2 linked regions of the Styela clava genome follow. The protein of the gene in region 1 interacts with the protein of each later gene in a pairwise test. Links are inferred from orthologs where the notes say so. Each region holds a gene or a part of one and is shown in the gene's direction. Other genes may lie near its edges.

What was found. The genes of interacting proteins can lie anywhere in the genome.
Region 2: the proteins of calcium-activated potassium channel subunit alpha-1-like (region 1) and cAMP-dependent protein kinase catalytic subunit beta interact in binary tests that used the Drosophila melanogaster proteins (3 or more experiments, as listed by UniProt). The link is inferred for Styela clava from reciprocal best matches to the Drosophila melanogaster genes slo and Pka-C1.

Annotation. Positions count from the first base shown.
Region 1 is NC_135260.1:20,441,626-20,448,858, forward strand, and holds the start of calcium-activated potassium channel subunit alpha-1-like, read left to right. Parts: upstream 1-4,112; 5' UTR 4,113-4,411; coding exon 4,412-4,486; intron 4,487-6,149; coding exon 6,150-6,310; intron 6,311-6,395; coding exon 6,396-6,564; intron 6,565-7,060; coding exon 7,061-7,122; intron 7,123-7,233. UniProt on the Drosophila melanogaster protein: Potassium channel activated by both membrane depolarization or increase in cytosolic Ca(2+) that mediates export of K(+). Its activation dampens the excitatory events that elevate the cytosolic Ca(2+) concentration and/or depolarize the cell membrane.
Region 2 is NC_135250.1:24,679,437-24,687,523, reverse strand, and holds the start of cAMP-dependent protein kinase catalytic subunit beta, read left to right. Parts: upstream 1-4,983; 5' UTR 4,984-5,326; coding exon 5,327-5,414; intron 5,415-8,087. UniProt on the Drosophila melanogaster protein: Serine/threonine-protein kinase involved in memory formation. Promotes long-term memory by phosphorylating meng and by regulating CrebB protein stability and activity.

The DNA of each region.
Region 1 (7,233 bases):
ATGAGCCGAACGTGTTCCTTATAGGCATTGGAATACTGAGACAAAGTAAGACATAGAAGGCATGGATATTGTAACGAATTCACGCTAGGGCCCCATATAGAGAGTACCTCTACTGTTTCAGGGTAGAGATTTCGCTGATAAAAATTAGTAACAAATTCTTCCTAAGCTAAATAAAGATGAGTAGCGTGGATTCTTCGCGGACTGGAATGTAGAAGTCTCATGGGTAACGTCAAGGTGAAGAGTCAAAAGTTTAATTATATAGCCGGGGTTATGATAGGTTAACAACCTCCATGTGTACACCACAAGAATACCTGAAAGGTAAATTCATTTTATTTCGCGAAGATATCTATTAATTATCGAAGAGCATTATCAGAGCACTTGTTGTGTTTTTCCCCTTTGATTGAGGAGCACCAACGAAAATCCACAACGTTTTCTTGTAGGACTGAAAATCAATGAAGGAAAAATTCGTTTGGAATGCGTTCTGGTGTATCAATTTCTGTGTCAGAAGGTGTTAATAAAAAAACAGCAATGACAGTTTCAGCGCGCTTGTTTTATGATTTAGTCCAATGACATTGCTAATCTGTACATTTGTTGCCATCTGCTTTAAAAATGTACTTGCAGGCGTCGCTTCATTCATTGTTAATTATCGATGTCAAAATTTCCTGATGTCGGTCGATACAGAGCATTGAGTTATCCAAACCTACTTGACAGCACTATTTGCATATACAGTAGTTTATAGGGAAGGCTGAAATATTGTATCCATCAAAATTATAAGCATGTATGGTCGTGTTCCTAATTCGTTTATTCCTTTCAGTATTCATACTCATAACAGTCGTAATAAACGTTTAACTAGCATTTTTGTTAATCCGTTTTTCCTGGTGTTCAAATTATTACTTACACCTTCTGGTGTATACGTGATCAAATGAAAGAAATACATTCGAACTCGGGATTAACGGTCGCTTTTCTACAGACGACAGATTGTATCCGTGAAATTGTAAATTTAATCGTTTGGAATTAAGTGGGTCTCCTTTCATTTATTTAATGTGATTGCTCGTGTATGGGCCGTGGATATAAATAAAAAAATTCTCATCTTTTTCGCGTTTTTTACATTATAGAAATATTAACGACTATTTCAAGCGATAAATAGGTCTCAATATAGGCTTGAAGACCTCTAAATATTGGGCCCTATATATATATATCGTTCGAAAATTATTAGTTACACTTTAACCGGGTTGATAATATTTGTGTGCTTTGTTATCAAGCCATATTCTATATTTTGACGCTCGCATTCTGTTTGAATTGTAGTTTCGATTGAGTTTCGCTTGGAAAAGGTACATAAAACTGTATAATCAGATACGCTGATATATGCTTGAATATTAGAAATTTCTTTGTCAGAATTCATTATGTATGTTTTGATAGGACGCATTGATATTTGCAATGTATTATATCGGTAATTCCAACTTTTTTTGTTGATAATTGAGGGGCTCCTGAAGTATGCGAACCAAGATGGCGGACATCGGAATGTAATATGTGTACTAGGTTGGGGTTAGGCCATAATTTTAGGTATAAATACTACGGGAGGCTCTTGGCTAGTCTTCGACATGATAATAGGACAAAAATAAGGAAAATTGGAAAAAAATTATCGCCTAACCCTAACCTGTTACCCATGTTACGTTCCGATGTCCGCCATCTTGGTTCGCATACTTCGGGAGCACCGTATAATTAAACTACCCCCAGTTGTTGGAATCATCATACATAGATTAGATCGCATGGAAACATCTTCGTAAGGAATAGGATATTAGGGAATATTAGTGTTTGCACTTATATGCTTTTAAGTAAATTCATATTTATTGATCGTTATCAGTTTTACGAGTATATCACAATAACTCGTTTAAAACAGAATGTCGCTATTTGCTACAATACGCTTAGTACTATGTCTTCTTGTATGAAATGGGGCACAATCTTTTTACGACAGTGAAGTGGAATATCAACATGAAATTTTTTTTTTTTTTACATTTATATATATATCCTGTGTTCAGGTTTATTTGGCGAATTTTTTGTTTGTAACAAAAAAGGCAGCTATCAGTACTAAAAATGAGAAAGAAATTTTTTTTTTGTTTTTAAAAAGGGCATAAACCTCGCGCAATATAAATACAAAATGTTACCGAATTAATATCGAATTTGCATATTTGTAAACACCATGATTCATTTTCTGCAATTTGTATGACTGACGCAAGAAAAACGGTCGCAAACAAAAAACTCAAATTCAATGTCGACCACCGAAAATTAAAAGTATATTTTCTATGCAGTTTTAAATAGTCAGTAAATTTTACTGTGCTATATTATTATATGCAAAAATGTCTCATTATCTTGCTTTATTTTGTTAGCGGCTGTTTTTACATGTTATGTGCCTTTAAAAATCGTACCTGAAAGTTCTTTTCTCGCAGAATTACATACGTAAGTGTATAAGAAATAGTCACAATCACGGTGAAATGTTAGTCACTTTTCTGTATTAGTCTCAACTATGAAGCAAAATATTCAAATTGAGCATCTCTCCGCACTAAAAAAAGTTTCTTAGCTCATTAGTTTAGATTTAAATTTCGAACAAGGAGGAAGTTTGTTACTTGGATTAGTTGTCGACTCAGGTTAGTAGACACTAACACTTGACAGTACCTGCACTAATCAGAAAAGTCAGTTAATTCCACCAAAATCGCATATGATATGTTAACTTGAAATAATACGTAGACCCACTATATGAACCCATCGTGCGACATACGCTTCTAAAAAGAACTTTTCTATTTGACGCATTTACATCAAGATGAATTCATTTGGCTTTATCAGGGCAATTTCCATAGTATATATCACTAAATTAAGTGCTATCGATTTTAAATTACTTACGTTGAAAAGGGAAGTGTTCTAGGCTCTTATCGACTGATTGTACTTCATAGAGAAATCTTGATCGACCTATTTAATTTTTTGCACATTCGTATTTAATGACGCTAAATCTCTGTACCAGAGAGGCGATTTAAGCGGCCGTACATGATTGGATGATAATGTATAAAATTTGGTTCTGGTGTTTATTTTCGGAGGATGATGAGAACCCCTGATGTTTTATTACCTAAGAGACACCCGGCGTTATATCTTTAGATAAATCAGCCATTTTCGATTATTTTTAGTCGAGTCAGTTAACCTTGTTATCAGCGTGACCGCTACGAACATGGCGTCGCCATTTTATCAGCCGAAAGCGTGACGGGATTTGTGTTCCGCGGGGTGATAAGAGAACAGTGTGTTGCTTTGCATGGTTGAAGGGTTTCTCCCGGGTAACGAGCTCAAATCGATTATGCCAGGATTTTTGTTAGGATTTCATACGGCGTTATCGTTAGAGACGCGCTTTCATTTGCAATGTGAGATCAGCGCATTGATTGCTGCCTAAATAATTTATTGCATTTCGAGATGGCTGTATGGGTCGTGGAATATTACGATTATAATTAAACCAAGTGCAGATTGCCACTTCAAGTAAACGGGTCAATATGGAGTAGAACACATGCACCGTTTCTCATTATTATGTCGACACGAATTGATTGGACGTTTTGTTTTAAAGTAAGGTACGGTATGTAGCACGGCATCGGTTATGAAGACACATGGGTTTTTGAAAGAAATATATGCTGTCATCTTTCATTTGAAGTTAGACGTTCGTTAGTTAGCTGTGGTAACTTGAAATGACATAATTTGATTACAGTGAAAGTGCGATTGAATTTGATGCGTTTTGCTGTTTATTTCAAAGTCAGATTCTTTGAATAGTATTATAACATTGCATAGGAAATTTTGCCAATTGAAATTAGTTCAAGGCATTAGTGACTGGAACTGTATACAATAGAGGTATTTAGGTCATTTCAAAACACTCCCCCATTCATCCAATGTGTTATATTGAGAGGCATAGTGATTCAATGGAGCATCATATAAACTCGGCACTTTCAAGAAAGTTTAGAAATTCCCTCAGACTATCTGTCTTATTGTTTATGGAATTCAACGTTTGTTAGATAGAAAACCCTATTATATTCACTATACACTAACCAAAAGTTGCAATCATATCTGGACGAAGAATTTTATTTGTTTGATTTTACCTTTAGAAGTTTTGTGTTTAAATTGATGAATAGAACTACAAATTGAACACAGGATATTTGTTTGACATATTCCATTCAATAAAGAGACCTTTTACGTCAAGAAATGATAAAAATATATGTGGACTACATGTGTTCATTGTGACCACTAGCAGATGGTCAACGTTTTTTTGGAATATTTGCCCAGAGAGATTTAATGTGAGGAAGCAAGTAGATGCATTCATCGCGGAATTAGAAGAACGTAAAACTAAGATCCGACAAAAGGAAACTCAGAACTATATTGAAAAAGAATGACAGATTCTACTCCTGCAGCAGCACCCACATGTAATTGTACACAATCAGACACAGCTGTTGTGGATGTATCCGTGAGTACCATATTTCAGTTTAATTTTATTTTTTGTCATTTTTATAAAAATTTTAAAGTTTTCTATTTAATTCAAGACTAATGTGTTAGGGTACAGCTCGACTCTTGAATCAAACAGAATATTCATGTTTGTTCTTGCGATAGCATACTTGCATTATAAGCATTGTGATCCACTACTTTCTGTTCAGATTTCCACATTCAGGGTATGCAGTATACATAATCTCAATGTTGTAATATCAATTAGACTGACTATTTGTTTGTCAGGGGTTTTGTCCAGCTTTACCTTTCAATCACACAAGTAATTGAATAAGATAGTAAATGTAGTATGAGAATGTGATAATCAATTTCACAACATTATTTTCTTTTTTTTTTGATTCCAATCAATAATTTGATATTGTGTAGTCTAGTTCAAAGAAAAATTACTTGGGAAATTGATGGGATGTCATATAACTTAGATGTAGGCGCATGTAAAATTGCCAGATTCAAGCTTCTCAATATTAGAAAACAAATTGCTTTGTTTCAAATAGTGCCTGAACATTCTAATCTGATAGCAAAAACTTATTTTATCCAAAAAATGTGTTATCTCAATGTATTATATTGGTAATTCCAACTATTTTTGTTGATACTTGATATGGTAACAGTAAGATTATTTCAATTCAGCAAAAAACATTAAAATCTTCAAATTAATAAAGGGCAGTATAATTGAACTACCACGGTTGTTGGAATCATCTTGCATACATTTTCTGGCCCATTTTTGCTCTATTATGAACACTAAATAATGAATCTACTTTTAACTAAATTGAATGCTGCAACAAGGATAGATAAAGCCGCTTTACTAAAAAATAATTTATTATTTATGAGAACAAATTACTTTTGGTTTAATGATGATTGATTATTGCCACTATGTGATCTGTGGAGCTTTTACATGTAATGAAAAAAACACTTTGAAGTTTACTGTAATATCGCACTTATTTCGGAAGTCTTCTGTCATAAACTGTGACTTGGGTCCCGGTGTGGTGCACTACAGAGCAAATGTTTATTCAATATTGAATAATATTAGATACTAAATATTCAGATTTGCTGTCAATTAAAGTATAAACAATATCTAAAAATTTAAACCACTTAATGCGAGAGCAATCACAAAAAGAATTCACTGTGAATCGATAACAACTAAAGAGAATCTACAAAATTTGAATTAGTGCCTTCTTTTGGAAAATAGACATGATACACATGGGAATAAAGTTCATCTTGTGTTTACAAACAAAATTCCTGCCATACTGAGTCATAATGTGTTTCAAACAATATGAATTGATCAGTTCTCAGAGAAAGTTTAATCACAAGAATGGCATATGGCACATACATATGTAAAAGCTTAATATGCAAAGTGCAATATTGATTATTTGTGTTAATTTACATCTCAGTTAAGGCTTTAAGGTTCCAGCTTACCACCTTGTATAGTGAATTTAACTACAACTTGATTTTTCTTCATTGATTTTATGAAAATAGTAGGTTTTGTAGTTTGTCCTCAATTCAAATATTATACTTATTGATATATAGTATACTCGTATGTTTACATAAATCATGCCATAAAATCTTTTTCAAATCATTACAAAATTATGCACGAAGAATGCTTATTTAGAATTTGTTTAAAAATCTTTTTCTAGGTAACAACTGAGTATTTGACAACAAATGCCACACACACACCATGTGAACAAACTCGCATGTGGTATGTTTTCCTCAGTTCATCATTAATCACATTTTTTGGTGGACTTCTCATCATATTAATATGGAGAGTTTTCAATTACATGTGCTGTGCTGCTTACAGGTATATATTTTCTTTTTCATTGTGCATCGAAATATGTTAGAATAATGTCCAAATTTCCTATTGATTTCCTTATTAATCTGTTTAGTCAAATCCCCAAAGATGGAAATTCAAGCAAAGGCACATCAAGCGATAAAGATAATTCTGATGCAGACTCAACAAAATCTGCCGGACCATTAGAAGTGGAATGGATGACTGTTGTAAAAGATTGGGCTGGTGTTATGATATCTGCACAGACTTTAATTGGAAGGATACTGGTAAAATGTTTTATCAAAATTCATTATCTGATTAGTTTATGCCTTGGTTATAATTTGAATAACAATTTTTGTTAGATTCTATGGATATGAAATCGTTTACAACTGTAGGTTATTATAACTACCTAATTTGTGTTTGAAAGATTAATCATGAACGAACATGATAAATGATTCTCCGGTTAAGTCCCATTTCCATCAAATTTTTAAATTTGAGTCTCAAGTCAAGCCGCTGTTCTACCGGGTCTCAAGTTGAGGGCGAGTCATAATAGTTTTTATAAAAAATCATGAAATGGATACATATAAGTGAGATTCCATTGGAAATTAAACCAAAATTCATATAGAAAGCAAATTTTGATTTAATAATGTATTGAAAACATTTGTGTTGGCCTGTTTTGAGCTATTGCTGTAATATTTCTTCTAATATGCAACCTAATTATCTATATCAAATTTCTTTTTTCTTTTTTCCTTTTACTCAATGTTTTTTTTTCTAATTTTTCAGGTCGTCCTCGTTTTTATGCTCAGCATTGGTGCTCTTGTTATATATTTCATTGATTCATCAGAGTAAGTTGGAATGCTTGAAAAGTTTCATAGAACTCAGATCAATTTTTGACATCCAACTCAAACCATATCAACCTCTAATATAAATCAGTTTCTTCTTATCATAAGATTAAG
Region 2 (8,087 bases), on another chromosome or scaffold:
GGTTTTCAAAAAAATTTGACTTCGTCATCAGCTCCGAGAAAATTAAATTTGACTTTTGCTTGTGCGATCCTACTTAAATGGACTGTTAGAACGCTAGGTAATCATTGAAAGTATGAAATCCGACTACGACTCTGAGAATCCGACTCCAACTACAATGAAAACACGCCAAATTCCCGGCCCAAAAGCTATATATTTAAACATATAACATCAAGTTTTTGGATCATTTACAGTTGGCTTGCCTGGGGAATACTGTCGCCGATTCTACCCTTGACCAAATATATATTCCATTACTTAACATATAAACAACCGTAGTTTAAGTATATTTTATGTTTGACTTGCCTATGAATTATTTAAGTGCCGTTACGTTTAATCGCTTGACCTTAATAGTACGTGTAAACAGTAGTAAATTTCAACATAACTTGATTTCAAACCAACTGGGAATAGTTTCATCTTAATTCTCAGTCATGATAGTAAGGTATGACTCTTTTATGCATTTAATACAATCAATAAGGCTATTGATTAAATTGTTTTGGAATTAGTCTTATCGAATAGGGTTGAATAGTATCTGTCAGAATAGGGCAGGAGTGTGTTCATATGTACCATATGCATCCCAGGCGAGAGAAAAGCCAACTAGACGTTTTAATATTCCGACCCGCTCAATAATGTAGTGGCGTCGGTGCTCCCGAAGTATTCGTACCAAGATTGCGCACAACCTGAATATAGTATGTGTACCAGGTTAGGGTTGTTCAGGTTGTGCGTCATCTTGGTACGATTACTTCCGGAGCGCCGTGGCGTCTTGTGCAGAACGTTGCACGGAGTGAAATCGTGTACATAAATATTTTTAATCAGATAATGAATATAATGTCGTTCGTAAAGCGTTGAAGTTCACAGATTCGAATCCCGTGGGTGAGAATTATACGTGCGAGAGGATTACTGAACTCCTTCCTCTTGGTCGTAGGGTTCGTAGGGTGGTCCACTCGACCGCTGGTCGGTTACGGCTTTCATATGTTTAACTATTGAGTATTAACCATACCCGACACGGACTGGTAACTGTACTAGGATGATTAAACTTTCGTTGATCGACTTACCTCTTCCTCGGGCTGATAATGAAAAACCTATTCCTACATTACATCAACAAATTTTGGCATCGTTTTGATAAAACGAAGAAACTATTAAGTGTAAACTATTGCAGTGTTCATAGATTGACATTAATATGTTACAGACTTTTGTTTAAGTTTCTGCTCTGTTGAATTCCGCATCGATTTATTTTATATGCCAAGATATTTGAGATTTACATTATATTACAATGTAGTACATGTATATGAAATTTTTTGAAACGTTATCAAAGATTCGCCAAAATCGAAAGAAATTCGAAATTGTATTTTCGAATTTCTTTCGGTTTCGGTTGACATTTCGCGAACCACGATGTTTCACAATATGTACAATCCTAGTGCCGTATCTTTGCCATCTAACCCTTAAAATCTTGCTGTACGCCAGCACGAATAAGCCTATATCGTTATTCGAGATAGGAATTTATTTTCGATCAAAAACACCTACCGGTAATCAAGCCGTTTTGGGATATGATGTATAAATTTGTAACGTCTTCCAATTTTTTTCCTTTGATCATACCCAAATCAGTTTATAATGAAATTTCAAAAAACAATCAACAACACGGAAGTAGATTGTATTTTTTTAATTAGTTCCGCGTTCAGATCACAATAGGTCAAACTTGGTCATGGATGAGTTGTCATTTCCGAGTGAATTTTTTGCGTGGATCACGCTTGGTTGTTTAAACAATAATGAAAGACTTGAATACCTTTTCACTGAATGCTAGTTTAATCACGTAACAGATTTTATAAACTGTTGGGCTAACTTTCTGTGCTAAAATTATGATAACGGAAAAAAGGAAGCACATTTGTTTACAGTGTGTTACATTACAGCCTCGTGTTGAAAGCTCGAAAACACTCTGCAAATGCTACAACTACATTTGCGATATCCGAACCCGTTTTCTTTGCTATTCCAATTCGTCTTTCTTATTTAGGACTTTCGTCAGTTATTTGTCTTTGAATGGATTTCTGTTGGACCGACAATTTGTTCTTCTTCTTAGCTTTTACGGGGTGTTTCCGTATGTATATGATGCAAGGATGCTGTAGCAGCAGTACAAATCACTTTTATCTGTCAACAAATGTAAAATCAATTCATATGTCATGCGTCCCTAGCATGTTAGGAAAATAGTAAAGATAAAATTAGTAGGCATTACAATATTTATAATACCTTCTGAATACTCGCCAGAAACGTACATTGTAGTTGTATTTATTGATGCAAAATGCTAACCTGTTATTGTCCGTCACTAGTTTTGCCATGGTAAACATTTCAGGAAATTATCTAATATCGGGCCGTAACAGTCTGCTCGGGATTTGGTAACTCAAAAATGAGCGAGAAAGTCTTAGATGCTATTTTATGTGTAAAATTATAGAATAGCTTCTTCGAATCCGAAATATGCTAACAAATTCCTCCGAACTTTTACCAGCAACACATTAAGTTTTTCTGGGAATTCTTTTACGCCCTGGAATTGACCTTTCGCCTTTTGATCTCGACAAATGCTGAGCTTTTAACACTATCAGTTCCGTCTACGTCATAAAATCCTTTTAGACCGATACGCGTCGGATTCCTACCCTATCTATGGTGGCTTCATCCAAACATGGTTCTTATATAAAACAATTCAAGAGTTTTTGAGTTATATTATCGCCGTACTTGAACTTGGATTCTTCAAATAAGAAGTCAAAACAAAATGCATTTTTGCATCGATCGTACGTTTAAATTGTTGGTGTTTCTTCTTGGCATCGTATGGTCCCGTCAAAGGTAGTTCTCAACATTTTTTGAAAAACTTTTTTGTTGGTATTCGACCGGCCTATGTTGGCGAATTGCGTATTATTTGATTTAATGTGTTATTATCTAATCGCCAAACTCGATTGGAATAAATAAATTTGGAATTCCGCTTCAATGCAACTCCCAACTGATAAAGCTTCCGCGATAGCCTAAAAAATAATCAATTCTTCCAGTCGATAGGAACAGATCGGCGCTTATTCACGAGTTTAATTAAAAGGAGAAAACTGATACACAGCTACGTATTTTGACTACACGATGCTCCATCGAAATACTAATTGCGCATTAGCTAGGTAAGAAAACAGGTGCCAGTATCTGTTTACCAGTCATCTGTATAATTTTATGCTGATTGCAGTACGTAACCTGATATAAGTACGTATGAGGGCTCCAGCGAATCATTATCGAAAAATCTTATGCAGTCTCAGTCTTTTGGTATTGAGCTAAAAGAATTCGGGACTGGCTCAATCGAATTTTGTAGATACCGGAGTCAAGTTTTTTTCATCTCGGAGACGAGGTCAACTCCACAACTCCGGATTCATTGTCATCTTAGCACAATACTTATAACTTCGCTATTCGAGATAGCTGGGAACCCCGTAGCAACACAGTCAGTTTCGCCGGATGATGTTGTACAGACGCTTGAGTTGAGTAATGTATTGTACCGTGATAACCCATGCAATTTTTAACAATTCGTCTAAATATAGAACTGTTTTGTGGACGTTATGGCAATCAGGCGAAACGCCCCCACTGAACGCCTATTCAAGCATGACTCGTTAGCTATATTATCCTTTTCTGGATCCTAACACTATTTCTGTCCTCATATTTGTCTACTATCTGGTGGCTGGTATAAATATGGACGCTGTCATTTGTCCTCTTATTGAAATAACATTTTGAAAATATCATAATATGTGATGTTTCAAAAAGTGTTGCTCATCTTGGATCGTATTTTTAATTAATTTAGTTTTGCCCCATTTTTTTGTTCTTGTAATTCAATACATGAATTTTTGTAAATTTTTTGCGTCGGTGTTGATTTCGATATTCGGAATTTTTTGTCAATCGTATTCGTATATATTGTAACGCAGAAAAATGGTTAGGTCTATATTTTAGAATTTTAGGTGACTATTTGTATTATAATACATGCAAAACTCGTAAGAGCGGACGACTTAGTTGGTCAACGCTTCGAATGTCTATACAGACTAACTTCATCACAACAATGAATAAAAATGTACGGATTCGAAAATTGGATAACCTATATCGTTTACTGCTTACTAGTACGTGCATTAATTTGAATAAGCATAGTAGCAATCACTCGCTAGACTTTTTATTTTATACCTCCGCAGGGAGCCAATTTAAGCCATTTCTATAAATTGATATAATTTTTTTTTCTGGTTTGAGAGTTTATTTAAATTGTGATAATTTGTAGATAACTTTCTATTGTCATTTCGTGTAAAATTAGACTTCTTTGCCAAACATATCGTTCTACATGGGAAACCAACCATAGCATCCAGCCGTACTTATATAGTCGTATTTTTAGTTTTAATTTAGCGTAATTGGACACGTATTGGCTCGAAATAGTCGTGTTAGGATCCTCGTAAACAATATGTATTATTGCAGTACTGAACAGTAAGTTAGCCTATAATAGAGTACTTATAGTACTTGTGCAGTGAGCAATGTTGACAGAATTATTTCACTAAAAGACCATATTTTTTTTTAAATAATGGACGTAGGCATTTTTGACAGTTATTAGGAAGTTAGAATATAGGAAAGGTTCGAATCAAGTACAGACTGACCAAAATAAAACAGATTTACGAAAACGAAATTTATTTACAACTTTAACTTGTGCTTGTATATAATAGAACGCTTTTCACAAAAGTTATGTTCTTTCTAGGTTTCAAATGGCCTGGGTTCTGTTTTTAGGTCACGCTGTATGTTATAATATTATTGATACATGTAAGGTTCAAATATAAGATGATCTTGATACCAAGACGAACGATGGATTTACATTCGTTGATTGTTTCTGTTCTCTTTAGGGAAATTCTTACTGTCCCAACGCGCCCATTTGACATCGATTTGCTTTACCTAAATGACCGATTTTTGTTTATTTTTCAATGTACCAGCTTGTCTAATGCTATTTGGGCGTAACGTAACTCGAACATATGCATTGCAACCACATTTAGCTAACGTCCGGTAGAAAAAAGGCCGCAATTATTTTGGCCAGCGAATAATACTGTTTATGCGCCTCTTTGTGAGTGTGATATACTGGAATACCAAACGGAAGTGGCCATACCACACACTGCTGTTGTTATCGACGTACAGTCAGTAAGGTAGCTAGACTGTGTTAGTTGCTTGTCTGTCTGATCTGAAAGAGACGATCTTTTCCGTCAATACAAAGACAAAACTGGATTATATTTTGAAGTGATATTATACGATACAAACCAGCATCATGAGTATGTTCCCTTTTAAATTCGGGAAGTCGAAGGAATCCTCGCATAAGTCGCCAAAGACTTCCAAAGAAGACCATTTGAATAACAGTAAGTTTGTATTTATTACTATTCAGATATATTAATATAACGATCTACAATACATTATTGTCATTTCAATCAATTTTATTACCGATAATCGTCGACTTTTTTTCTTATTCGTATTTTAGTTTTGGCAAATCGAGAATTTGATTTTTATGCTTCATTAAATAAACAAGTATTACAATAGTTTTATGTCTCAGTGATTGTCATTATTCATTTCAGATTTGTGTTAGGTTATGAAATTTTATTTTAAATAAAAGTATTCAGATCTGATTCCGTTGATCCCTTTCTAAACGGCGTTATTATGCCAGTTACAGTGACTTAATGGTACCGATGTGGCTTAAAATTTTCTTTTGGTCATATTGTAAGACCTCCATTGCTCAAATGAAAATTTGATAATCAAATGTAAATATTTCAAAATATTACTACAATCAAAAATTCAAAATATCGAATATATTTATTTTCGAAGCCATCAAAATATTCAATTCTTTTTGAACATTGGTGTACCTTCATTTTATATACACATAAATACAAGGATCAGGTCTAGTTTGCGATCATTTCTTTCTTCCATTGTATGCTCTATCTATCCGGATAAAACATTTTATCTGATTAAGCATTATAAATAAATGACCCGTACATAATTGTGTCTTATAATGCCACATATGGCCAAACATCCAACCACCAAATCGAGTAATCTCCTCAGAATGCTAATTGCTAATTATACAAATTTTGCAATTCATTATAGGATTTATGTATCTTTAATTAACTACACATAATATGTCCAGTTTGTTTGTTACGAGATAATGAAGGCCGTGTATAATACTATTTGTAATTATACATACCATACATATACGATGCCAGAAGCTCAGGTTATAATTATGTCTAGAGGCTCTAGCCATACGGCTTAACGATCACTGAAGAATATTCAATGAATAATACACTATTTAATTGGTACCAGTCTCAAATATTTAAAAATTGCTACAATAACTTAATGCTTTTTTTCCGTATTTCTACATTTTCATTGTGACTAGCTGCTATAGTTGTCCACATCTAGTTTACATTGTTGCATACCGGTATTTTTTCGTTTTGATCGATTCTCATTAACGAGTTATACTAGTTTAAATTTGAGAGTTCCAAAATCATACTATGGCCTGATACTAATATTTCGGTCTAATTGGTATATATATAATTGTATGTTTGCCAATATGTATGACGTAATTATATTGATGGCGTCATTTTTCAAGATTTATTGTTATTTTGAATATGTGTTCGAATGCGGATTCTTGTCTCCAGCAAGAATTTTCATGTAAAATTGGTTTATTGATTCTCGGATAATCACTGGTCATATTTAAACCGCATTTTATTATTGATGAGTTCTCAGCCGACTGCGATGACTTGTTCGCCATTGGAAATTATGATGCAAATTGGAAATAAAATATTATACTATCCATTTGGGGCTGTTTTTCCCAATCTGGGAGGAATTTTGAGTTTTTTTTTTTTTTGGGGGGGGGGGGGGGGGGTGGTTTGTATTTGCGTATAATAATAATAAAAAAGTCTGAGTATAAGTTGCTCGTAAGTCGTAACACTGGCTAACGGTCTATTAACGACTTCCGCGCAGTACTTCGAGAATTGAAGAGTTTAAAATAGGCGAATGTTGGAATAATTTCTAGTATTGAGATATATGGTAGTCTTAGTCTACCACTGAGATTCCGGGGCTTAGCTTTATTAAAAAGATGGTGATTCAACTTTAATATGCTCTACCAATTACTCAGAAATTTTGGTGAAATGTGCTGTTTTCTTGTGATTCTCTGAGCTTTCGTGATCCGTAACGTTACATTGTATCAAGCTGTGGTTGACCGCGAGTTTGGTGTTTCTCGGCGCGGCAAATAGTCTGAAGTATATTCGAAAGCGTTTAACACCCAGCAGCCAACACGTTTAGCGAATATTCATATATTTTTACCTGTCATTCAAACTGGGCAAGACTGCTTTTTGTTTATGCTATTGAAAAAATGAGCATGTTATCAGAATTTTAAAGCCATCACGAGTCCCAGAAAAAGTCGTATCTGAATTTGTTGTGGATTATATTTGGATTGCACTTTATTTTGCGTTTTTTCAGTAAATAAGCTGATCAAGTAGTAAGCTTTAAGAAATTCTGATCTACTTCAAGTAGTTCGATCCAAAATATCATTTTCGGTATCAAGTTTTTTCGGTGATTTTGATAAAGCCTCTTGAGCCACTTAGAAATGTCACTGCAGGTATTTTATCTGTTATTTTCAAACGTTTTATTCTTAGTTGGAGTTGCTCGTGCTACTGCTCTTTTCTGTCCGCGTTTGTGTCGGTCGATCGGAATACACGAGTTGCAGGGATACCGTGAAAAGAATAAAAACGCTTAAATTAATTGGTTGGATTGTCTTCACCTTTCGCATTTTCACGTACTGTCTTTAATCCTGTAGCAAAAATTCGTATTACGTTTACAGAATAAAACCTTAGGTGGTGTACTGTAAAGACTTTGAACACTTGTTGAAAACGGTGACCCCAAGATAGTACACATGACTGTGGGGTCGGGTAAATTTTTAAATTTTCAATCTACTCTAACTCCCGGATTTTCCGGATTGACAAAAATTTGACTCCAAATCCAGGTTCAAAATCTGAGAAAATTTCGAAAATTTGGCGTATGCAAAT